Linked DNA regions of Oryctolagus cuniculus. The protein of the gene in region 3 purifies or fractionates together with the protein of the main gene of each other region. This does not show direct contact. Links are inferred from orthologs where the notes say so. Each region holds a gene or a part of one and is shown on either strand. Other genes may lie near its edges.

Region 1 (6,019 bases), on a different chromosome or scaffold from region 3:
TGGGAGCTTGCACACTTTCTCTCTCTCCCTCTCTCAAATAAAATATGTAAATGTTATAAAGTTAAAGGAAAGTGGCATTGAATGTTTGTTTTTTAAAAGCACATAATAATGCTTACATAAAGAATGACCAGAAATCTAAGCTATTGTTACTTTTAGAACACACTCTGCTAGCTGCTGATATGTCAAAGATTAACAGAGGCCAGGAATTTTACCCACAGCTGTTTTTGTTTAATCTGGAGTTTAAGAAACCAAAACAAAATGAAACAAAAACTTCTCTTGAAATAATGTTTTACAATCTGGATATTTCCCATAGAGATCCAAAATTCCATTTTCTCTTAAAAATTGGAAGGGCTGAGTTCCTCAGACCAGAATTTGCAGATACTGGGTAGAGAAAAAGGCAGCTGCCCCTGTAATCCACACACTCACATAGTTTCTGTCTCTTAACTCTTCCTGCTGATCTGTTATTCCCCTTTGAATTTATATTCATGCTATGACAGCCCCCACACTCAAGGAACCCACAATCCAATAGGTGAGGTGCGTTTGCTAAATAATTCACAATTCTGCACAGTGTGATGCAAACAAGTACAACGCACGTCCACGCTGAATGGTGGAAGTGTTGGGGGTGATATGTTTCTTGTCAAGAAAGTGACTTTGGGGTTCAGCGCTGTGGCATAGTGGGTAAAGCTGCCACCTGTAGTGCCAGAATCCCATATGGGAGCCAGTTCGACTCCCAGCTGTTCCACTTCCAATCCAGCTCTCTGCTGTGGACTGGGAAAGCAGTGGAAGATGGCCCAAGTTCTTGGGCCCCTGCAGCCATGTGGGAGACCTGGAAGAAGCTCCTGGATCCTGGTTTCAGATCAGCCCAGCTCCGGCCTTTGTGGCCTTTTGGGGAGTGAACCAGCAGATGGAAGACTCTCTCTTTGTCTCTGCCTCTCTAACTCTGCCTTTCAACTAATAAATAAATCTTTTTTAAAAAGTGACTTTAAGAAAAAAAGAGGAGGAGGAAGAGGGTTGCAGAGGGATTAGAATGTGCAAAATGAGAAACAGCTGGTGTGTTTGGAAATGTAAGGAATTCAGTTTGGGAGCTATCATGAAAAGGGGAGAAGAAAGCCCATGCTTCATCAAGTCCCTTGATCTGGATTTACTTTGGAGCAGGTAGATTGCTCTTGAAATGTTTCCTGTCACTAAATTACAAATCGAATGCAGTTACATCTGGATACTCTTACCATCCTCTATCAAATGTTGGGATCTGGCTTTTGAGAAATAGATGCTGGGGCAGGCATTTGACCTAGTGGCTAAGATGCTGTATTGCATGCCTACATTCCATGCTGGAGTGCCTGGGTTCTGGTCCCAGCTCTGCTTCCACTCGGCTTTCTGCTAATGTTCATCCTGGGAGGCAGCAGGTAACTCCTCAAGAAGTTGGGTCCCTGCTATCTACACAGGACAGCTGGATTGAGTTCGTGGCACATCGCTTCAGCTTAGCCTAGCCCCAGCTGTTGTGGGCATTTGTAGAGTGAACCACAGAATGGCAGTCACACACCCGCCTCCCTTTCTCTCTCTCCGTCCCCTTCTCAAATAAAATAAAATTTAAAAAAGAAGAAATGCTGCATGAAATATATTTCCATAGCAAATTGTCGTGTCAACAAGAAGTCCCTTCTTTATAATGGGTAAAATATAGTTTTAAGTTTTGTCTGCAAATGAAATTTCCCTCCCTGCAAAATGAAGATAATAATGGCACCTGCTTAGGACTCTTGAACTGATATCTAAATTCAAGGTAGCCCATGCAACAGGCTTACCAAGACATTTGATGCAGAATAAAAATGGTCAATTAATTTGAGTTGTGATTGTGGAACTGAGTCTTCCTTGTCTGTGTACCCTATCCTTGAGAATATATAACATCTCATTGGGTCACATACGTAGTTTTCGTTGAAAAGTGAAGTTAAATCAATACCAGTGGCATCTTCCAACGGCATTTGGTAAAAAATAAATGGAAAAATACTAGATTGAGAATGCCAAGCCAAAATTTCTTTCTGTATTATCAATTGCAAAAGTTTCAAGAACAATTTTAAAGATGTTTGTGCAACACAGAAAGTGCAAGTTACCTTGCATAGTTAACTATTCAATGTAACGCTTTCTTAGTCGTAATAAAGACTCCTAGAAGAGGCGGTTCTCTGTTCTGCAGCTCAAAGAGCAGGCAAAGAGCCCTACAGGCAAAAAACTCTTTCATATCTGCCAGCAACGTCTTGGATAGCCAGGGTGGTCAGACACTCACTTGGCGGGAAAAGCACACATACAGACCAAATTCGCACAATCTGTTTCGGGTTAGTTTATAAATTGCGATCAAGGGTGCCAGCGTTCGTGCCTTGTGGGATTTGAAGTCCAGAAAGAAGAAGGGATCCGGGCTGTCGAAGCTTGGAAGTCGGCAGCCCCTGCAGGTCTCCGCTCTGAGGACTACAACTCCCGACACGCACCGCAAGGCCGCGCTGTAATTACCAGCAACCAATCGTGCCCCAGCAGGGCAAACCCCGCCCCCGCCTTGGAGCTCGGCCTCCGCCAATGGCAGAGCTCCCAGGGCTGAGCCTGCGGGTTAGGTTGTGAGGCCCGGGCCGGGGGCGGGGAGGAGCCGAGGGGGTTCAGAGCAAGCTCGGCCGCTGGGTGGGTCCGGGCGTTCGGCGCGCCCTTCACTGAAGCGGCGGTGGCCGGGCTGGGCGCCGCGAGTGGGAAGCGACGGCGCGGCTGGAAAATGCCGGTGCATTCCCGGGGGGATAAGAAGGAGACGAACCATCACGATGAGATGGAGGTGGACTACGCCGAGAACGAGGGGAGCAGCTCCGAGGACGAGGACACCGAGAGCTCGTCGGTCTCGGAGGATGGCGATAGCTCAGGTGCGCGACCCAGCAAGGCTGGGACCCTGAGTCCCCGGCCGGGCGCGCGACAGGCCGCGCTCCGCACGCCGGGCAGCCGCGTCCTGCTGGGAGAGCGGGGCGGGGAGAGAGGGAAGGGGCGGAGACTGGCTCCCGGCCCAGGGCTGCACCCAGACCGACCGGTCGCCCAGCGCTGCCTGCTCCAGGGAGGGTCCCGGCCAGCGGGGCGGGGCGGGCCTGGGCTTGCCCAGCCCCGGAGCTCGGCCCCCGAGCAGCCCCGGTGGGAGCCGCCCTAGACACCTCCCGGCGGTGCCCTGGGGTCTCGCCCGGGTGGGAGGCAGCCCACCGACCTCTCTCCTTACCCTTACCTTTGCAACTCCTACTTCTCAACGTGGGTGGATTGTGGGGGTCCAGGGTGGACCCCAGGTGCTCCTGGCCGGCTTGGAACGGGTTAACCCCCTGTCAGTCTGCGCTTCCCACCAAGTGCCCTTGCAGGGGGCTAACTCGGGAGCTGTCCCGTTTGCAGAATGCCCCTGAAGTTTTCAAGGCTGAGAAGAAGGGAACACCATCGGGGTGGTTTGGATCTTCATCTGTTTATGAATTGGCTGGTTTGGGGGGCAGCATTGAAATGCTCCCAATCTTTTCTTCCCTCCCCCTTTTCCCGACTTTGGGCTGTTTCACTTTTGGGGGTAACGGTGGGGGAGGTGGTGATGGCAGGGCTTGAGGGTGGGAAGAGAGGGGAGGAGAGGGCAGATTAACCCCATCAATAAATTCTGCAAACTTTCGGGAATGGCTACTCAAAAAAGAGAGGGAATCTGTGACTACCTGGACTCTTTTCCTTCTGTCCCCGTTACGGGGATGAGACTGGTTTCTTTGTCTTGGCCTGATTTGGACCGCATAAAGGAAGCGCTGATGACAGCTTGACAGTCCATCATCGCCCTAACGCCCCCTTTCACGTGTCCCTTTCAAAGCAAATCTCCATGGAAGGGTGTCATTTCGATTAATAAATCACCCAATCCCAAAATAAATATTTATGAGTGACTTCTTTGTGTAGCACCGGGCACAGCTCAGTCTGAGGTCTAACTAGTTCTGATCTCTCTCAATCAAAGAGCTGTCTTAAGTTACCGCTTGATTAAGTTGCTAAGTGAGTGCTTAGCTAAACTGCTGTAGGAATCGAGACGAAGAGGAAATCTTTTCAGAATTGATGGCCAGCAAAGGCAGGTTGAAGCAGATGGGGTTATCCTGAAGAATGAGTAGGATTTGTACTGCTGTGGTAACGTTCAGGTGCTCCTGGAGGGCAAGGAATGTAAGAAAAAGTGCAAAGGCCAGAGCTTACGCTTACTCAAGAGTGAGGAAACCATTTGGTATGGGAGAAGGCTGAGCTAAGAAACTCAAAAGAAAGGACAAAACAGGATTGATGAGTGCACGTTTAGGAGTGAAGCGAAGAGAAAACCCAAGATACCAAGAGAATGGTGATAGCATCAGTGGACAGAGAGAAGTAAAAATGTGAGATGAAGATCAAAGAGAAGGTATTTCCGTTGTGTTGCTTTTAAGTAGGAGTGTGTATTCAACCAAGAATGCCCAGCTGGCAGATGGGAATGTGGCCTTGGAATCTGCCTGGGGTGGGAGGAATAATTGGAAGATCATGTGCCTGGCCATTGATGTAGGTGAGATTTCAAAGTGGGGAACAGAGAGAAAGAAGGATCAGGACTGTATGTAAATATATTTCCTAGATCTGTAAAGCATCAGCTTCAAGTATTCTTAGCTTTTTTAACGAGAGCTGAGATGTCAAATAATTACCTCTCTATTTTTTATTACTTTATTTTTTTAAAGATTTATTTATTTATTTGAAAGTCAGAGTTACACAGAGAGAGAAGGAAAGCAGAGAAAGAGAGAGAGAGGTCTTCGATCCGCTGGTTCACTCCCCAGTTGGCCACAAAGGCTGGAGTTGGGCCCATTCGAAGCCAGGAGCCGGGAGTTTCTTCCGGGTCTCCCACGCGGGTGCAGGGGCCCAAAGACTTGGGCCATCTTTCACTGCTTTCCCAGGCCACAGCAGAGAGCTGGATCAGAAGTGGAGCAGCTGGGACTCAAACTAGCACCCATATGGAATGCCAGCACTGCCCGTGGTGGCTTAACTCGCTACGCCACAGCGCCAGCCCCTCTCTCTCTCTATTTTTAAAGATTTATTTTACTTGAGAGGCAGAGTTACAGACAGAGAGAGGGAGAGGCAGAGAGAAAGGTCTTCCATCTGCTGGTTTACTCCTCAAATGGCTGCAAGGGCCAGAGCTGCGCCCATCTGAAGCAAGGAGCCAGGAGCTTCTTCTCCCATGCTAGTTTAGGGCCCAAGTCCTTGGACCATCTTCCAGTGCTTTCCCAGGCACACTAGCAGGGAGCTGACTGGGAAGTGGAGCAGCCGGGACTCGAACTGGAGCCCATATGGAATGTCTGCACTGCAAGTTGAGGCTTATCCTACTGCGCCACAAAGCTGGCCCCAGCTCTATTTGTTAATATTCTCCCCCAATAATTTTTGTATTGACTGTTGTGATTTTTGATTTGTTTTTAACTTCAGCCCAGAAAATCATGGATAGACCATGAAAACTAATAATTTGAACCACCAGTCAAAATTTTTAAGTGCGAAGAAATTACTTATAGCTGTGTTTTTCAATTTTGCTTCTTGTAAAATCATCTCTATTCTACCATGTATTACGCACGTTAAACTTCCAGAATTTTATTCTTTTCAAACCTTGGTACTGAGCAGATCCTAAGTCCACAGAAAAACCTCTACTATCCAGAGAACGTGGGGAGTGAGTCATCTGGATGAACCAAGTTTTAAATAGCCTAGGAATAAGCTAGTGGAACCAAAATATTTCTTAGTGTGTTTTAGAAAAAAATTTTAAAATGATTCAGATACTTCCCTGCCGTATGAAAATAACCAAACACGATTTAACTCTCAGAGTTTGGCCTTTATTTGATGCAGATCAAAATGCAGATCATTTTGCACTTCAGTCATTTTGATGTGTTGGGTACGTAGGGTGTGAAAAGAGAAGATGTGGAACATAGGACAGATCTGGTAATTCATGGTTGCTTTCCTGAGCACATTGGCTTGTTTTGCCCTCATTTATCTGTGTCTTACTGTCTGCCAATAATTGGGGAGA
Region 2 (6,092 bases), on a different chromosome or scaffold from region 3:
TCTGCCTTTCAAATAAATAAACCTTTACCAAAAAAAAGAGTTTAAGTCAAGATCTTCCAATTACATTCAACAAACACTTACTGAAACACTTAACACTATCTCCCATTTAAGCCTACAATAAAAGTGCGTGGGGTTTCACTTCTCTGGCCATGTTTGGCTGTGGCTGTGTGTGAAGACAATGAGAAGGCCGGGCTGAGGATGGGCGTGAACGCGGACAGAGCCCGGGCTCCAAGCTCTCACATACTGTCCAGCATGTCGTCGGCTCTCATGGATTCATGCCCTTCAGAGAACCCAGGTGCTTGAAGAAACCTGAGCACTGATTTTTCACATCCAAAAAAATGAAGAGCAATGCCATAAAGTTATCTGCTGTTTTAAACGCCCTTGTTATCTATTTCTACTAGGCTGTCACAAAACACACCAGACACCGGAGTAAGGAAAAGGGTTTATTGGGGAAAACCCAACAGACCAGAGGGGTGGGGTAGCGAAGGGAAAAAGGGCAGCTTGTCTGGGAAGGGGGTCTAATATACCTTTTCCAGAGGGCGGGCAGTGAGGTAGGAATTGGCCAATCCCATTAGGTTGAGGGTGGAGCTTGGCACAGGTAGTTTGGGCCATGTGGCTACCTGGCTTTCAGCTATGGCGGTGGGAACCGGGGTATAGAATGTAAATCAGGTGTAGATCGTGCCACAGATAAGACTGTGCCTGCGCCATTTTCCTAACAGCCCTTATTCTCTCTCCCTTGATCATTTCCTTCAAAGTTCTTCGTAGCCTACCCTCAAGAGTCTTTTTTTTTAACAGATAGAGTTAGACAGTGAGAGAGGAGACAGAGATAAAGATCTTCCTTCCGTTGATTCACCCCCAAATGGCTGCTGTGGCCGGCGCTGTGCCGATCCGAAGCCAGGAGCCAGGTGCTTCCTCCTGGTCTCCCATGGGGTGCAGGGCCCAAGCACTTGGGCTATCCTCCACTGCCTTCCCGGGCCACAGCAGAGAGCTGGACTGGAAGAGGAGCAACCGGAACTAGAACCCAGCGCTCATATGGGATGCCGGCAGCGCAGGCGGAGGATTAACCAAGTGAGCCATGACGCTGGCCCCTCAAGAGTCTTAGAAGAGGAAGATGAATGAAACATGACTCATTTGGAGGTGGGAACAGCACACATTCGCATGGTCTTTGGAAGTACTGTAGTTCAAAATAATTCATGAGGTCAAGTCCAGATTCTACTGCTAGTTCCACGTCCCACAGAAGAAAGACAAATCACTCACTGCTCCTTCACTTCCACGTAGTCCTCTTCCTCATGCTTGGCCAGGTCAGTCTCACTAGCATCCTCGGTGTCTGAAGAGAAACACGCAAGGCGGCTTGGTTACAATCGTGACTCGTACAGCTGGCACAGGGCAAGCACTTCCTAAACTCCTGCAAGACGAACTCTACTTAACACACGCTTGCATGAAGCCACCAACAAGAAACAGTGACTATACTTACTTCAGAAAATAAAGCGCCGTTCCCCACTTACACAGTTCACACAAAGAGCTTGCCTATCTGAAGCCCAGCCGGAGAGTAGGGTGCCCGAGACGCCGGTGGCCACGGTCAGCTCTGCTGCGTCTGCAGAGGCGGCCACAGTGGCAGCTCAGCAAAGACGGGGACCCAAGACCGGACACAGCACACAGCCAAGCCCTACTGCTCCCAAACACACAACACGGTACAACCTAGGCAGGGGCTCACATCCCTGCAGTGCCTGGGTTCAATTCCTGGCCGCCGCTTCCTGCCAGGGCACACCCTAGGAGGCAGAAGGCGATGGCTCAAGTATCCGGGTCCCTGTCACCCACGTAGGAGACGCAGACTGAGTTCCCCGCTCCCATCTGGCCCAGCCCTGGCACTGTGGGCATCCGCGTAGTGACCCAACAAGGAAGAGCTCTCTGCCTCTTGAAACACAAGAAAACACCCAGTGCAAGCTGAGTTTTGTTTATCCAAAACGCCTGTGACCCAAAGTGCTGGGAACCGTGTTTTACTTGGGGATATTTGCATGGACTTTACGAGTTCAACATCCCTAAGCCAGAAGCCCAAAATCCGAACCTTGCTGGGCATGACGGGCACTTGAAAAGTTCTGGATTTTGGGTTTTCGGATTACAGATGCTCAGCCTGTGTGTGCACTGCCCCGTCGGGGCCCTCCACGCATTTTACATCAGATACAGCTGAGGAACTCCTAAAAGTTCATGGAAAACAATTAAAGGAACCTTTATTTGGCACACAAACATTTTTTTCAGTTCCACACATATAACAAAGGTGAATTCTACAGAACACACTGAACTCTAATAACAGATCTTCCCAAAGCTATAACTAAAGTGAACAACCAAACACCAAGTTCATGTGATTGGGGGGGGGGGGGGGGGCTCAATTTTGGTTTCACAGCTCCACCTGGTGGACACGAAAAGCAGCACAAGCAACTCCGATTCCCAGTCCGGCTCACCCTTGCCTCCAAGCTTCTCTAAATCCAACGCAGTTTCTTCAACTTCGCGTCCCGCACAAGCAGCTGGCCGCCTTGCTCCTTCATTCTAGAGAGTTCCCTGCACCGGCCCCATTCACTACCGGGCCCGCGGGAGGCCGAGCTGCATCCCACCCCCCGCACCCCAGCCGGCGGGGGCAGCCTCTCCCTCCGGCCTCTCTCGCACCCTTTGACCTTTCCTTGTCCCCCCACCCCGACCCCGACCCCGACCCCGCCCCAATCCTCCAAAAACAGCCCGGGCTGCATACATCCTACAAAGCTTAGCCCTGGACCTGAAACCCAGAGCTCTGAGCCGGAGGGACCACGAGTAGGAGCACTCGGCGCCGCAAACACACCGGGGCGGCCATGCAGCAAATGCGTCTCGCCCTCGGCTTCCCGGGGAGGCGCAGACGCTGCGAGCCGGTGACCCGGCAGAGCACGGGCTGCTCGCTACCTCGCCGACTCCTCACGCCCACCCGGGGCGGCCCGGGGGCACAGCGCCCACCTGCACCTGCACCTGCACCTGCACCGGGCCGGCGGCAGCTCCCGCTCGGCCTCCCACCCCCGCGCCCCGGGAAGCCACGCCGGGCGCTCGTCGCGTTCTCTCGATGACGAAAAGGAACATTAGTGCACTCCACGGGCGGCCGTCCCGTTCCGCCCGGAGAGGGCCGAGGGGCAGCCACAGACGGTTGGGGGGTGGGGTGCCGGAGTCTTAAAGGGCCCTCCCGCTCTGACGACTTGGAAGTCCCCTCTCCTCGTAGCCACCGGGGTACCACGCACCCACGGCTCCGCGCCTCCCCCGCACGTGTGGCGGCGACCCCCACCCCAGGCCGCGCCCCGCCCCGACGCCCCCATCCCCAGCGCTCTCACCCCCGCCCCGCGCTGTCCGGCGGGCTGGGGTCGCACCTTCGTCCGACTCGCGGCCCCGACAGCTGCGTTCGTCCTCCTCGGCGCTCTCCAGCTCCTCTTCCTCCTCAGGGTAGTACTCCGGGGCCGGCGGCGCTCCAGCCGGGGCCGGGGCCGGAGCCAGCAGCCCCGCGGCACTCATGCCGCCTCTGACCGCAGCTGAGCGTGCCCGGAGGAGACCGCGGCCACCCGCCCTGCGGGCCGGACGTCCGCGGAACTGCGCCCGACCGACTCCCCGACTCGAAGAGCGGGAGCCCGGGCGACCCCTTCCCCGTCTCCGCCGAGCTCCGCCCCCCGCGCCCGCGCTCGGCAACGGGGACCTCGCACCGAAGGCGACTTCCGGGTCGCGGGCTGCCCGACGACGGCCTGACTCCGCCATTCTCGAACGGCTGGAAAGGCCGACAGACGCCTCCTTCGCCGTGAGCCCAGCACCTTCATCGCCGTCTTAAAATCCTCGACGGGTGGCAGAGGAGGGGCGCGGGCCGGCTCTTTGGAGTCAGGCAAATCCACGGGCAGCCCTAGCCGCGGCCAGGACCCCATCGTTCACGGGAGGCTTCCGGAAACAGCCGCCAGGCGGCGCCCGCGGCCACAACGAAGCGAGGGCCGCCGGCGACCTGAGGGGCGGAGGGGTTAGAGGGCCGGCGGCAGGTGGACGTGCTGGACCGTCCTCCTAATAGGGCGGGAAGTCTACACGTCCAGAGTACGTGGTCATGCAGGAAAAGGGAGGTGGCCCCTCCCCGAAGTGGAACGTTATTAAGAATTGAAATAAAGATTAAAATGCAGGTAGCCCATGGTACGGTCATCAGGCCGGTAAAAAAAAAAAAAAAAAAAAAAAAACTAGACCGGCCACTTGCTTTTAAAAACATGGTAGCGTCCAGTCTGCTTTCTGTAGACCGCAGATCCAGGCCCTCCAGAGCACAGCTGCCTCGCATGGCCGCCGATGTTAACGTTTTCACGGTGTTTCCGCCGACCCAGTAGCTTTCCAACCAACTACAGCTGGGCACGGCCCCACAGAGGGAGAATCTGGGTCCCGGAAGAAAGACCCGGGCTGAAGACAGGCGCCTGGATTACCGGGCGGCTCAGCCAGCGGACGCAGGCGCCCTGGGCTGGGGAACACACCGTCCGCCCGGTGTGCGTGCGTAGGGAGAAAGGGATGCAGCTCCCACGTTTGATGGTTTGTGCCAAGTGACCCCGCTCTTCAGGCGGCTCCCACGTCTGCACAGAGCAAGGAGCAAGCAGGGAAGCTGACCCAGGAGTTCGGCCACAGCCCGGGGCCCGAGCGCCGGTTCCAGACACGGCTGCTCCACTTCCCATCCAGCTCTCCGCTGTGGCCTGGGAAAGCAGTGGAGGATGGCCTAAGTCCTTGGTTCCCTGCACCCGCATGGGAGACCTGGAAGAAGCTCCCAGTTCCTGGCTTCGGATCGGCCCAGCTGTGGCTGTTGCGGCCATTTGGGGAGTGAACCAGCAGGTGGAAAACCTCCCTCCATCTCCCCTTCTCCTCCCTGTATCTCTGCCTCTTAAACGAATACACAAATCCTAGAAAAAAGAAAAAAGGTAAAGCCGACCAGAAATGTGGGAGCCGGGCAGGAGCTTGCGTTCTGGTTCCGTGATCCTCTGTGGCCTGGGTGGAGTTGGTTTGGGTATGTCCTGTGGACCACCTTGTTTTATTCAAATCTGTTCCGTCTTTGAGAGGGATTTTTTCCTCCCAACAAAACCCGAGAATTTGCAGAATGGAACCTTGCAGTGTCTTCCAGGAGTTCGTGGATCTTCAGAGACTCCTTCTAAACAAGGGGCACTCGGGCTCACTGTGCTTCTGCCGTCCAGGACTGGCTCGTCCAGAGGAGGAAGCCATTGTCCTCTCCTGTGCTGTGCTTCCTATCTGAATTATTTGTAATCAGCTCTCTTGAGCAGCCTGAGTCCCTGTCAGCATCCATGGGTTAGAAATCAGGGTTCAGCCGGCGCCGCGGCTCAATAGGCTAATCCTCCGCCTAGCAGCGCCGGCACACCGGGTTCTAGTCCCGGTTGGGGCGCCGGATTCTGTCCTGGTTGCCCCTCTTCCAGGCCAGCTCTCTGCTGTGGCCCGGGAGTGCAGTGGAGGATGGCCCAAGTGCTTGGGCCCTGCACCCCATGAGAGACCAGGAGAAGCACCTGGCTCCTGCCATCGGATCAGTGCGGTGTGTCGGCCGCAGTGCGCCAGCTGTGGCGGCCATTGGAGGGTGAACCAATGGCAAAGGAAGACCTTTCTCTCTCTGTCTCTCTCTCTCACTGTCCACTCTGCCTGTCAAAAAAAAAAAGAAAAAAGAAATCAGGGTTCACTGGTATCATGAAGCCCCCCCACCAAAGGTCAGTTTTGCTGCTACATGGTTTCCTTGCAAGATGCTGGGATGTTTATGGTTTATTTCCATCTCCTTGATTGCAAACAGCAGCTGTTAATGGTTATGCATTTATTTTTTTCTATGTAACGAACAGAGACAATGGAACTCTTGGGTGCTGAAGAGTGTCCCCATTTCTCATACCCAGATTCCCAATGGCAGAACGGGCAGGATAAGTCCCTAACAAGTAAATACTCCTCAATGAGGCGAACGACCCACAGCCTTAGCCGTCGATTTTTATAGTAAAACGCAAATTTACTCAAAGCCGGGTTCTCCCTCCTTAGAATCTTTGGTTCCTTCCTAAAGGGCCTCTCAGCCAAGCTGCTCAGTGGCAGAAAGG
Region 3 (5,383 bases):
ACTATTTATGAAGCACGTGAAATTTGTTGCCTTAATATATTAAAAAAAAAAAAAGGAAAAAAGTTTGGGACAATTGCATTCTTAATCAAGAGTCTTGGGTTTGTCTCAGTTCTGCCTCCAACTCCAGCTTCCTGCTAATGCACACCCTGGGAAGCAGCAAGCAATGGCTCAAGTAGCTGGTTCCCTACCACTCAAGTGGGAGACCTGGATTGAGTTTCAGGCTCCTAGCTTTGGCCTGGCCTAGTCCCATCTGTTGTGGTCATGTGGGGACTGACCCACTGGATGGAAGAGCTGTGTTTTTCTCCCTCTCAGCCTGTCACTCAAACAAGTATGTAAAAAACAAAAAGACAAAACACACTCAACCCAAGACCACCAAAAAATACAATTACAATCATGGTAAGTAACTTAAAGATATAAAAATTCATTCTATTCAGGAGAAATCTAAGATTAGAAATATTAAACATTAATTATTTACAGTTCAAGTCTTAATAATGAACCCCATTTTCTATCTAAAGATTTTGACTTTGAATAGTGGATAAATGACAAGAGTAATGCAATTTACAATGTTACAAATGATATGATAGGGATGGGCATTTGGTCCCCACTGTAGGCTATTGGCCATCTATAAAAAACTTATCTTTGGTGTCCCGTCCCTTCAGAGAATAAAACTGATTTGAAGGATGGCATGCAAACAAACAAAGATTTTGACTTTGATGTTAATAAAAGAAACACCAATTCCCACTCCTGTAAAGGAAGGAGTAAGCATTTCAAGAGCATTTAAACCTTTAGGGTATTTCCTAAAAATAGGACATAAATGGCTTACTGAAATTTAACTTTATATACACAGTGAGTGCCACAGTTAAGTGATTGCTACCAATCACACATAGCAAGGGTAATTCAGACCCATGTTTCTTGATGCCTGTTTATATACCCTATGTATGTTTCCTTTTTTAGGTTGATTTATTTGAAAGGCAGTGTGACAGAAACAGAGGCAGAGACTTATCTTTCATCTGCTGGTTCACTCACCAAAAGCCCTCATCAGCCATGAGCTGCATCTGTGTCTCATTTGGTGGCAGAAACTCAAATACTTGGGCCATCACCTGCTGCCTCCCAGGCACATTAGTAAGAAGCTGGATTGGAAGCACAAGGTAGCCAGTACTTCAAGCAGGCACTCTAGTTTGGGATGGGGTAACCCAAGACACAGCTCAACATACTGTACAACATCTGCCTCTGTACCTGTGCTTGATTGCTTGATTCATACAAAAAGTAAGACTGCTTATATCTACTCACACCCACAAGCAAATCTTCACCTCTTCAAGGGCAACCCCTCATCCGTAAGCGGACACAGCCAATAAGATATGGCTGTTATTTGCTTCTTTCAATTATACAAACACTGCCCCTGCCCTTTGGTAAAGAAAAGTGTATAACAAAGGTACACAATCAAGTACATGTTAATATTTTTTTTATAACAAACATGTTTTTTTCCCCTAGCTTAAATGTTGCTTCTAACTTGAAAAGTTACCTTATCAAATTGCATATTCCTTTTATGGTAATTCAAAGATATGAAAGCTAAAACTGGTTACTTTTTTCACCTTTAAGATTCCTACCTCCTTTCTCACTGTCGTAGTGTGAGGCATCAAACTGCGCATCATCATTAGGGAGCTGCACACTGGCTATCACAAGGTGGTTTTGTTCATCCGACGTATGTGTCCCCAGGACAAGTCGATGAATGCTGAAATCTTTTCCTTCTGGTCTGTAATATCAATATATGGTTACTATTCAAGTAAGTAACACCAAGAGAGATCACACAGACATAAATGTACACAATAGGGCACTATTACAACCAAGTTTTCAGAGCAGAAAGTCATTAAGAGCCTTATTTCTGACCTTTTTCACTTTTTTTTTTTCCCTCTTTTGAGAGCCACAGGGACAGAGGAAAAACAAGGGAGAGATGGGGGAGGGCGTCAGTGAACACACTCCCATCTGCTGGTTTACTCTCCAAACGCCTCCAACAGCTGGGGTTGTTAGGGCAGGGCTGAATTTAAAAGCTGGGAACTCAATCCAGAACTCCCATGTGCGTGGCAGGAACCCAATTATTTGCGCTGTCACCACTGCACACACTGGCAGGAAGCTGGAATCAGGAATTGAACCCATGCACTTCAGTGTGGAACATGGGTATCTCAACTACCAGGCTAAAAAACTGCTCCCTATTTTCCAAAACCCTTGGGGCCAGTGCTGTGGCGTAGCAGGTAAAGCTGCCACCTGCAGTGCTGGCATCCCACATGGGTGCCGGTTCAAGTCCTGGCTGCTCCTCTTCTGATCCAGCTCTCTGCTATGACCTGAGAAAGCAGCAGATGGCCCAACTCAATGGGCCCATGCACCCGCGTGGGAGACCAGGAAAAAGCTCCCGGCTTCAAATGAGCACAGCTCCAGCCGTTGCAGCAAATTGGGGAGTAAACCAGTAGATGAAAAACCTCTCCCTCCCTCTGCCTCTCCTTCTATGTGTAACTCTAACAACTTTCAAATAAATTTTTTAAAAAATTAACATTTTCAGAAACTAATTTGAGAGGCAGAGGCAGAGAAAGATATATCAGTATCAATCTCCCATCTGCTGGTTCACTCCCCAAGTACCCACAACAACCAGTGTTAAGCTAAGCCAAAACTGGGGAAACCAAGAACTCAATTCAAGTTTCTGACCTGGGTATCTGGGACCCAACTACTTAAGCCATCACATACTACATCTCAAGAAGCACATGAGCAGAAGTTGGAATTGACATCACAGCAGAAGTTGAACCCAGGCATTCTGACAAGGGATAAGTGGCATCTCAACTGCTATGCCCTGTGCCTGCTTCCATTCTCCTTTAGAGGCAGAGACACACACACACAGAACTCCCACCCACTGGCTTACTTCTCAAATGCTCACGGTGGAGCTGTGCTGAGGCTGGGAGCTGTAAACTCATTCTAGGCCTCCCACATGGGTGGCAAGAACCCAATCGCTTGAGCCATTAATGCTGCCTCTCTCCCAGCTGATGCTGGAGCCAGAACTGGGTATTGAACCCAGAGAATTTCAAAGTGAGATACAGGTGTCTTAACTGCTAGACCAAATGCCTGCCCCTGTTTTCTACTTTTTTTTTTTTTAAATGTTTTAAGATTTATTTATTTATCTGAAAGTCAGAGTTACACAGAGAGAGGAGATACAGAGAGAGAGAGAGAGAGAGGTCTTCCATCTGATGGTTTTCTCCCCAATTGGCCACAACGGCCAGAGCTGCACCAATCCGAAGGCAGGAGCCAGGAGGTTCCTCCAGGTCTCCCACGTGGGCGCAGGGGCCCAAGGACTTGGGCCATCCTGCACTGCCTTCCCAGGCCACAGCAGAGAGCCGGATCGGAAGAGGAGCAGCAGGGTCTCGAACCGGCGCCCATATGGGATGCCGGCATTTCAGGCCAGGGCGTTAACCCATTGTGCCACAGCACCGGCCCCCCTGTTTTCTACTTTTAATGCATCTTCCATACAGCTGAGTATAAGAACCACATAAGTTAAATTTTCCAAGTATTTAAAAAAAGATTTATTTATTTGAAAGGCAGACACACACACATACAGAAACCAATCTTCCATCTACCGGTTCACTCCCCAAATGGCCACAACGGCCAGGGCTGAACCAGGAGCTTCTTCCAAGTCTCCCACATGGGTACAGGGGCCCAAGGCGATCTGCTGCTTACCCAGGCACATTAGCAGGGAGCTATACTGGAAGTGAAGCAGCCAAGACGACTCAAATCGGCACCATATAGGATGCCAGTCGCCAGGCAGAGGCTTAACCTGCTACGCCACAGTGCCAGCCCCTCCAAGCACTTTTTTCTAACTTAAGGGGCTATGCTGTGGTGCAGCTCCCATATTGGAGTGCCAGTTGGTGTCCCAGCTATTCTGCTTCTGATCCAGCTTCCCCCCCCCCCTTTTTTTTTTGACAGGCAGAGTGGATAGTGATAGAGAGAAAGGTCTTCCTTTGCCGTTGGTTCACCCTCCAATGGCCGCCACAGCCGGCGCACCGCGCTGATCCGAAGCCAGGAGCCAGGTGCTTCTCCTGGTCTCCCATGGGGTGCAGGGCCCAAGCACTTGGGCCATCCTCCACTGCCTTCCCGGGCCATAGCAGAGAGCTGGCCTGGAAGAGGGGCAACCGGGACAGAATCCGGCGCCCCGACCGGGACTAGAACCCGGTATGCAGGCGCCACTAGGCAGAGGATTAGCCTGTTGGGCCACGGCGCCAGCTGGCTTCCTAATATGCCTGGGAAAGCAGCAAAATGGAAGATGGTCAAAGCACATGGGCCCCTGCCACCTTGCCACGACCCCCTCACCTTCCCTCTGCTGGCTCACAACCAAATGGCTTCAGCCAGGTCTGGGTCAGGTTGAAGCCAGGAGCTCGAACTACCCAGGTCTCCCATATGAGTGGCAGAGGCCCAACCTCTTGAGCCATGATTCACTCTGCTTCCCAGAGTACACTAGCAGGAAGCTGGATTGGATGTCAAGTAGCAAGGACTTGAACTCAAACTCTGATATGGGACTGGACACCAATTGGCAGTTTAACCTTCTGCACCACACTCCCCCAAAGCAGAGGTTCTTCTACTGTGGTGCCAGGACCAATACCATCAGCATTACCTGGGAACTTTGGTTAGAAATACAGGGGCAGGCATTTGGTAAAGCTTTTAATAGGCCAGTTAGGCAGCTGGCATGCCATACAGGAGCAGAGTGTCTGGGTGTGAGTGCCCTCCTCACTTCCAATATAGCTTTTTGCTAATGTGTACCCTGGGAGGCAGCAGGTGACAGCTCAAGTACTGGAGTCCACGCCACTGATGTGGGAGACCTGGATTTAGCCTGGCCCAGCCCCAACTACTGAAGGCATTTGAGTATCTCAGCAGATAAGATCTCTTTGTCTCTTTCTGTGCCAATTAAAAAAAAAAATTCTTAGATCCACCCCAGACTTACTGAATCAGAAACTCTGGTGTGGGGCACAACAATGTTTTCCATTTTCAGCTGATCATGATGCATATTAGAATTTGAGAATCCCTGGTCTACCTGGGGAAGATGCTGCGCAAGTAGAATTCATTACGGCTTATAAATCAACTGCCTGTCAAGTGGATAAAAGCTAAAACCTAAGAATGTCCAACCAAAGCCAACTATGACAAAAATAAGATAAACTGAAGTGGGACCTCAGTGGAAGGAATTATTCAGTTTGGAACATATCAAGTTAGGGAAGCCAGTAAAATACTCCAAAGACGACACTAAAAGGCAGCTGGAAAAAAATCAAGAGCTCAGAAGTTAGGTTGAGAAATACCCCTTCACACAGAATTGACAAACAATGCCGAGAACATCCATCTTACACAGAAAGACAGA
Region 4 (6,017 bases), on a different chromosome or scaffold from region 3:
CCGCACGCCCGCCCCCGCCGAGCCCGCCGACCAAGTCCCGGGCCTCCCGCCGGCGCCGCGCGGCCACAGGGCGGGGCGGCCCGGCCGGGCCCGACGGCGGGCTTTCCCGGGCGCCGCCCCGCGCGGCAGGGCCCGCGGCCGCCCGGGCCCGAGGAGCCGCGAGACCCCCGCCCGCGCCCGAGGCCCCGCCCCCCGCGGCCGCCCCGGCGCTCGCCCGCCGCCCCGCCCCTCCCCGCCGCCGCACGCGCGCGGCCCCGCCCCCGAGCGGCGCGCGAGCGCCCGCCCCCTCCGCGCGCACCGGGACTACGCGCTCCCCCTCCCGCGCCGAGCCGCCCCGCTCCGCCCCCACCGCTCGCACAGCCACACGCCTCCCGCTCTACGGGAAGCCGCGGGGGTCAGCCCCCCCAATACACACCCTCCGGCCCGGCGCTGCCCGCCGCCCGGGTTCCCGCCGGAGCTCGGCCCACCGGCTCTCACCGCGAAGCTGCTAGGGCCGCTCGTCACTGCGCGTCCCTCTCGGCGTGAGCCGCGGGCTCAGGAGGCCCCGAGAGCCGCACGGGGCAGAGGCCGCCGAAGCGGACTGGCAGCCTGCGCTCCGCTACCGAGGCGGTCACAGGCCCGGCTGCCCAGACTGGGAGGGAGGGAGGGAGGGAAGGAGGGAAACTCTGTGGGGGGAAGGGGAGGGGGAGATGGAGAAACCGTCTCCGCCGCCTCTACCGCCGCGGCCGCTTCTCTGTTACCCGGGAAATCCCGCCCACTCCCCCGGCCCGCCCAGCAGAGGGAGGACTCGGCTTCGCTCCTCCACAGGACGCATCGCCCGCCAGTCAAAAGGCCAGCCAATTACTGCGCCCCGCCCGCCGACTTCCCGCCCCTTCCCTCTCGGTGGGGAAGGGAGGGGGAGCCGCTCACCCTCTCCACGCCCCTATTGGCGGGGAGCTTCCCTAACTCAACCCCGCCTATTGGAGACGGATTGCCGAGTCCCTCCCCCCAGCCGCAACACCATTGGCGGAAGCGGGGGAGCTCTTCTCGTCTCATTGGAGGACACCGCACGGCCCGCCCCGCGCCGTCTCAGCCACAGGCCGAGCAGGTCGGCTCCCGCCTCCGCCGGTCAGCGTTTCGGAAGGCTACCTCCGGCTCTCGGCGCCCCAGGAAGGCAGCCGCTGTGGGGCACAGTGTCCGTGCGGGACGCAGGCGCCTCCCACCTCACAGCCGCGCCGGGCCCGCCCCCGGCGATTCCGCCCCGCCGTCCTTTGGTGGAATGTTGACACCGAGACGAGCTCGGAGTTCCGGGGGCAGCGCCGGGGCCCGGGCGCCCCTCACCGCGAACCTCAGCCTCCGGCCTGGCGGTCGCACGCCGCCGCCTAGCAGCGGCCGGGGCAGAGCTGCGCCCACAAACCCGACCGGAACGGGCAGCCCTGAAAGCGGCCCGACGGCCACCGCCCTGGCCGCCTCGGGGGCAGAGCCAGCGGAGGAACCGAGGAAGGGACCGGAGTGGGCGGGGGTGCCTCGTGCGGTCAGACCCCTCTGGGCCGGGGTCCCGCGTGCAGAGACACCTTCTGGGCCGGGGTCCCGCGTGCGGTCAGAGACCCCTCTGGGCCGGACTCCCGCGTGCAGAGACACCTTCTGGGCCGGGGTACCGCGTGCGGCCAGAGACCACCTCTGGGCCGGGGTCCCGCGTGCGGTCAGAGACCCCTCTGGGCCGGACTCCCGCGTGCGGTAGAGACCCCTCTGGGCCGGGGTCCCGCGTGCGGCCAGAGACCACCTCTGGGCCGGGGTCCCGCGTGCGGTCAGAGGCCACCTCTGGGCCGGGGTCCCGCGTGCGGTCAGAGACCCCTCTGGGCCGGGGTCCCGCGTGCGGTCAGACCCCTCTGGGCCGGGGTCCCGCGTGCAGAGACACCTTCTGGGCCGGGGTCCCGCGTGCGGTCAGACCCCTCTGGGCGGGGGCTTCCCCGTGCGGTGAGGCCGGCGCGGCCGGCGTCCACCTCGGCCACCGTGGGCTCCTGGCAGTCCCTAGGTCCGCTCCGTGAAGGCTAAGCTGCACCGAGACCAGGTGCCGGCACACAGGGCATGGGCCCGCCGGTGGCCTTGCTTGGGGGGCGGGGCTCGGGGCTTCCCGCTCTCGCCCGCAGAGGGGACCCCAACACCGCCCTCCCTCCGCAGCCTCGGAGCGAGCTCCGGCAACAGGTGAGTGCCGGCTGCGAGCTGGGAACTGCGGGGAGCCGACCCCCCGGCGGGGGCGCAGCTCGGGCCCAGCCCCGCGCGCCGCGCCCCGACCCCGCGCCGGGGTCCCCTCCCGGCCCGCCGAGGGCAGCGGCTGCCGGCGTCCGCAGCGCTCTCGCGCGGAAACAGCCACGCCGCCGGGCCCGAACTTCAGAGCGCGGCCCCGGCCCGACGGACAGACCCTCGCCCGCAGAGCCCCCAGCGCCACCCGGAAGCCGCCGGCCGCGGGATGCCGGGCAGCCCAGCGCGCCTTCGCCACCCCCTCCCCCCGCGGGGCGCGGAGCCGGGACTTCCGGGCGGGAGGCACGCGAGCAGCGCGGCGGCCTCACACATGTGCGGGGCGCGCTCGCGGCCGAGGGCGGACTTCCCCTCCCGGCTCGCTCCGCCGGGGGCGGGGCCGCGCGCGCAGCCAATCAGGAGCGGGGGCGGGCCCTCGCGCCTCACGTAGCCGCAGGACGCCCCCCCCTCCGCCCTTCACGGAAAAAAAAAAAAAAAAACCCTAGCAACTTAAACTCCTGCCCGGCCTCCCTATAGGCGGAGCTCGAGATAATGTCAGCCAATCCGTGCCCGAGAAGCGAAAGAGGGAGTCCCGAGCAGCCAATGGAAGACAAGAGCAGGCGGGGCCCGCAAGGAGCCCGGGGCGGCGGGCGGCGAGGCGGCGCCCCGCCCCGCGTGTCCCCTGCGGGCCGCTTGCACAAGCCGCCGGCGGAGTCGGTAGTAAACAGTCTGGGCCGCGGCCGGAGGCCGGCCGGCCGGCCGGCCGGCCGGGCCCGCGCCCCCGCCCGGCGCCTGCGCCCCGCCTCCCGCCCGCTGATGCGTTTCCTCTTCCCGAGCGAGCGTGGAGACAGTTCCCCAGGTTCCGACCTTCACGGCCGCTCCGGGCGGCGAGGCGGCGGGGGGCGAGGGCGGCGGCCCCGGGCCGGGGGCGCCCGCGCCCCTCGTGCAAGTTTGCGCGCGCAGGGAAGCCGCGAGCCCGGCCCGCCCGGCAAGTCCGCGCGGAGGGAACTCCGGGCCGGCCGCCGCCCCCCGCCTGCCGGAGCGCGTCCGGTCGGCGCGCAGGGCCCCCCACCCACCTTTTTTTTTTTTTTTTTTTTTGCTGCTTTTCGTGTGTTTTTCTTAAAAAAAAAAAAAAAGGCGTGAGCGGAGCCGGAGACTCCTCCGGCTCGCCGCTCCCCAATCCGCCGCCGAAACCTACCGACACCGAGTGCTCGGCAACACTAGGCGGCGCGGCCGGCGCTGGCGCCCCCTCCCCACGGCTCGGCCCGGCCGGGAGACACAGTGGCGGGCGGGCGGGCGGCGCCGAGCGCCCTCCCTCCGGGCCGGCCCCTCGCCTACCTCGGCCGCGGGACTCCGAGCCGCCCCGGGGCCTGCGCGCCCGCTCTGCGTCGGGCCGGCCACGGCGAGCCGCCCCCCGGACGCGGGCCGGGGGCACCGAATTGAAAGCAGCTGTTTAACATACCTTCCGAGCCGGGCGAGGAGTGCTGAATGGGGAACGCCCCCCGCCGGCCATTGGCTCCGCGGCGCTGCGTCACGGCCGAGGGCCCGCCTCCGCGCTCGCCCCGCCCCTCCCTCCGGGAACCGTGCAAATAAATAAATTAGGCGAGCCCGGAGCGGAGGATCCCCGGTGCCGTCGCGGCGGCGCCTCGAGGGTCCCGGGCGGCGGGGCTCCGGGACGGCGGCCCGCCGTGCTGGGCGCCTGGAGACGAGGGGTGCGGGCGGGAAGCCCTGCGTGCAGCCCGGCGAGGGAGTCACCCCAGCCCTGGGGCGTGCGGGCGCGGTGGAGATGCTGCCGCAGGAGCCGAGGCGAGGCGGGAGTGTGCTCCCGCACAGACTGGCCGACTCCCGGGCGCTCCCAGGAGAGCCCTGCCGGCTGCAGGTAAGCCGGCGGAGCCGCGTGGAGGCGGCGGCGAGCCAGGTGGGTCTTAGGGGTTGCCCCGGGCAGAAGCGGAGGGGCAAAGGGCACGAAGGGACAGGTGGAAAGCGTGAGGACTGCGATGCTGGAAACCAGGGTGGCAGAGGTGGCCCCAAGCCGCGGGACGTCTCCTAGCTGGACCAAAAGCCGGTCGCAGGCCCAGGCCGGTGTGGTCGGGTGCTTAGCGCCCTAGCAGCCGGTGGGCTCTGGGGTGTGCCCAGTGAGGGGAGGGAGGCGCTGGGTTTGGTGGCTACAGTGCTGCGACGCCTGCCCTGCCTCTGCCCTGCCGCCCTTGCTCTGTTGGTCTCCATTGCCAACCGAAAAGAGTTTCCAGGGGGCAGGGCCACCCCGCAGGTCTGTGTTCAGCAGAGGCCGGATGCGCCTGGTGTGAGCGAGGGAGACCGGCTGGTCGGGGCTCGGAGGGATCCGTGCGGTGGGCCGGTAGTTCAGGCGGGGCACACTAGACCAGGGCACGGCCAGGGGATGCGTGCGAGCAAGAAAGGCGAGCAGTGTTGGAGAGACTCAGGGGAGAGGGCGGCTATTTGGAGTGGGCGGTGGGCGGCAAATGGAGCCAGCGGCCCTCGGCGGGGTGAGGCGGAGGAGCTCGGGGCTGGCGGAATTCGGCCCTGCGCTTCGCGTGGCCGTTGTCGGAGGCTTAAACGAGCTCCTGTCTCCCCTACCTGGGCCTGAGCCTCTCCACGAAACGGGGTGGGAAATGGAGCGGACAGGCTGCCAGCCGCCACCCCCACCCTCCGCCCCGGCCCCAGGGTCCACGTGGGAAGCTGGGCTGTAAGCAGAGAGGGCAGGTGGGGAGCCGCAGCTTTGGGGAGACCACGGAGGGGAGAGGAGGGGGAGCCGGGAGATGAGCCCTGTGTGCTCCTGCGCTGTGCCGGCGTCAGATGAGGCAAACGGTAGGGTAGAGCGGGCGCCGGCCTGCACCGCGAGCCCCCTGGCTCTCGCTGGGTCCCTGGGTCCCTGCCTGGGGGAAGAGGCTGACCCGGCGACCCCGGCCGCGAGGAGGATCCCGGTGCTGCCAGCATGTGGCTCAGGTCCTGGGAGGCTCTGGGCAGCAGGTGGTGTGCCGTGGGTGAGGTTACTGACACAGCAGATCCGCAGCCGGACAGCGTACTCACTGCCCCGAGTGCCACCCCGGCGGGGACCCCTGAACGCCCCAGGCTGCTCTGAGCCCCGGCGGCGCGTTGCCACGCACAGCACAGCCTTTCTCTTTGGGAGGGGACCTGATTTTGCCCTGTGTGCTATGCCCCGCTCGCCATCCTCGTTTGTAGGTGAGCAGAGCGGAAGGAGGCTCAGAAGTGGAATGACTTGTGCAACCCAGGCACCCAAGGCAGGTCCGCCTGGGGCCACCCCGCGTGCTGTTTCTGCAGACGGGGGCCAGCAGCTGGGGCGTGGGCTCTGGAGAAAACCAGCCTGCCCTCCTGGGGCGCCCCTGCTCAGCTCCCCAACTACAAGGGCAGCTTGTCTGCAGCCAGGGCTGACTGATTCCTGACTCTTGCCCAAAAATCCTCCCCAGAGCAGCACGGAGTTGCCTCCGGTCACAGGCGTGTGTCTCACAACACAGACATCACACACTCCCTCATTCACTTCTCGGGGTGCTTGGGGCGGGCAGTGATGGGGAGGCACAGGGCCCGCATTTCAGTGGCTTGGCTGATGGATACCGATGGCCAGCGTGGTGGCTCAGGAATAGCAAGGCGAGGGGGCTGTGAGGCCGGCGCCCCGCCCCGCCCCACCGACAGCAACCCCTGTGCTCATGGCAAGCGCTCCAGCTCCGGCCAGGATCCTGGGTCAGCATTTCTTGGAGGGGGAGGAGCTTCCGTTTCCCGTGCGCAGCCCCTGGGCTGTCGTGAGCCGTGGCGTTGAGTGTACT

The links. The genes of interacting proteins can lie anywhere in the genome.
Region 1: the proteins of RBBP4 (region 3) and BRMS1L purify together in Homo sapiens (affinity purification with mass spectrometry; 5 studies listed by BioGRID and IntAct, with this or other methods). This does not show direct contact. The link is inferred for Oryctolagus cuniculus from reciprocal best matches to the Homo sapiens genes RBBP4 and BRMS1L.
Region 2: the proteins of RBBP4 (region 3) and SUDS3 purify together in Homo sapiens (affinity purification with mass spectrometry; 5 studies listed by BioGRID and IntAct, with this or other methods). This does not show direct contact. The link is inferred for Oryctolagus cuniculus from reciprocal best matches to the Homo sapiens genes RBBP4 and SUDS3.
Region 4: the proteins of RBBP4 (region 3) and SIN3A purify together in Homo sapiens (affinity purification with mass spectrometry; 11 studies listed by BioGRID and IntAct, with this or other methods). This does not show direct contact. The link is inferred for Oryctolagus cuniculus from reciprocal best matches to the Homo sapiens genes RBBP4 and SIN3A.

What each region holds. Positions count from the first base shown.
Region 1 is NC_091443.1:39,764,499-39,770,517, reverse strand, and holds the start of BRMS1L (breast cancer metastasis-suppressor 1-like protein), read left to right. Parts: upstream 1-2,317; 5' UTR 2,318-2,743; coding exon 2,744-2,885; intron 2,886-6,019. UniProt on the Homo sapiens protein: Involved in the histone deacetylase (HDAC1)-dependent transcriptional repression activity. When overexpressed in lung cancer cell line that lacks p53/TP53 expression, inhibits cell growth.
Region 2 is NC_091452.1:14,520,688-14,526,779, reverse strand, and holds the start of SUDS3 (sin3 histone deacetylase corepressor complex component SDS3), read right to left. Parts: upstream 3,703-6,092; 5' UTR 3,523-3,702; coding exon 3,345-3,522; intron 2,533-3,344; exon of another isoform or gene 2,460-2,532; intron 1,328-2,459; coding exon 1,258-1,327; intron 1-1,257.
Region 3 is NC_091438.1:139,884,680-139,890,062, forward strand, and holds part of RBBP4 (histone-binding protein RBBP4), read right to left. Parts: intron 1,754-5,383; coding exon 1,608-1,753; intron 1-1,607. UniProt on the Homo sapiens protein: Core histone-binding subunit that may target chromatin assembly factors, chromatin remodeling factors and histone deacetylases to their histone substrates in a manner that is regulated by nucleosomal DNA.
Region 4 is NC_091443.1:108,520,608-108,526,624, reverse strand, and holds the start of SIN3A (paired amphipathic helix protein Sin3a), read right to left. Parts: upstream 3,703-6,017; 5' UTR 3,680-3,702; intron 3,581-3,679; exon of another isoform or gene 3,556-3,580; intron 758-3,555; exon of another isoform or gene 416-757; intron 1-415. UniProt on the Homo sapiens protein: Acts as a transcriptional repressor. Corepressor for REST. Interacts with MXI1 to repress MYC responsive genes and antagonize MYC oncogenic activities. Also interacts with MXD1-MAX heterodimers to repress transcription by tethering SIN3A to DNA.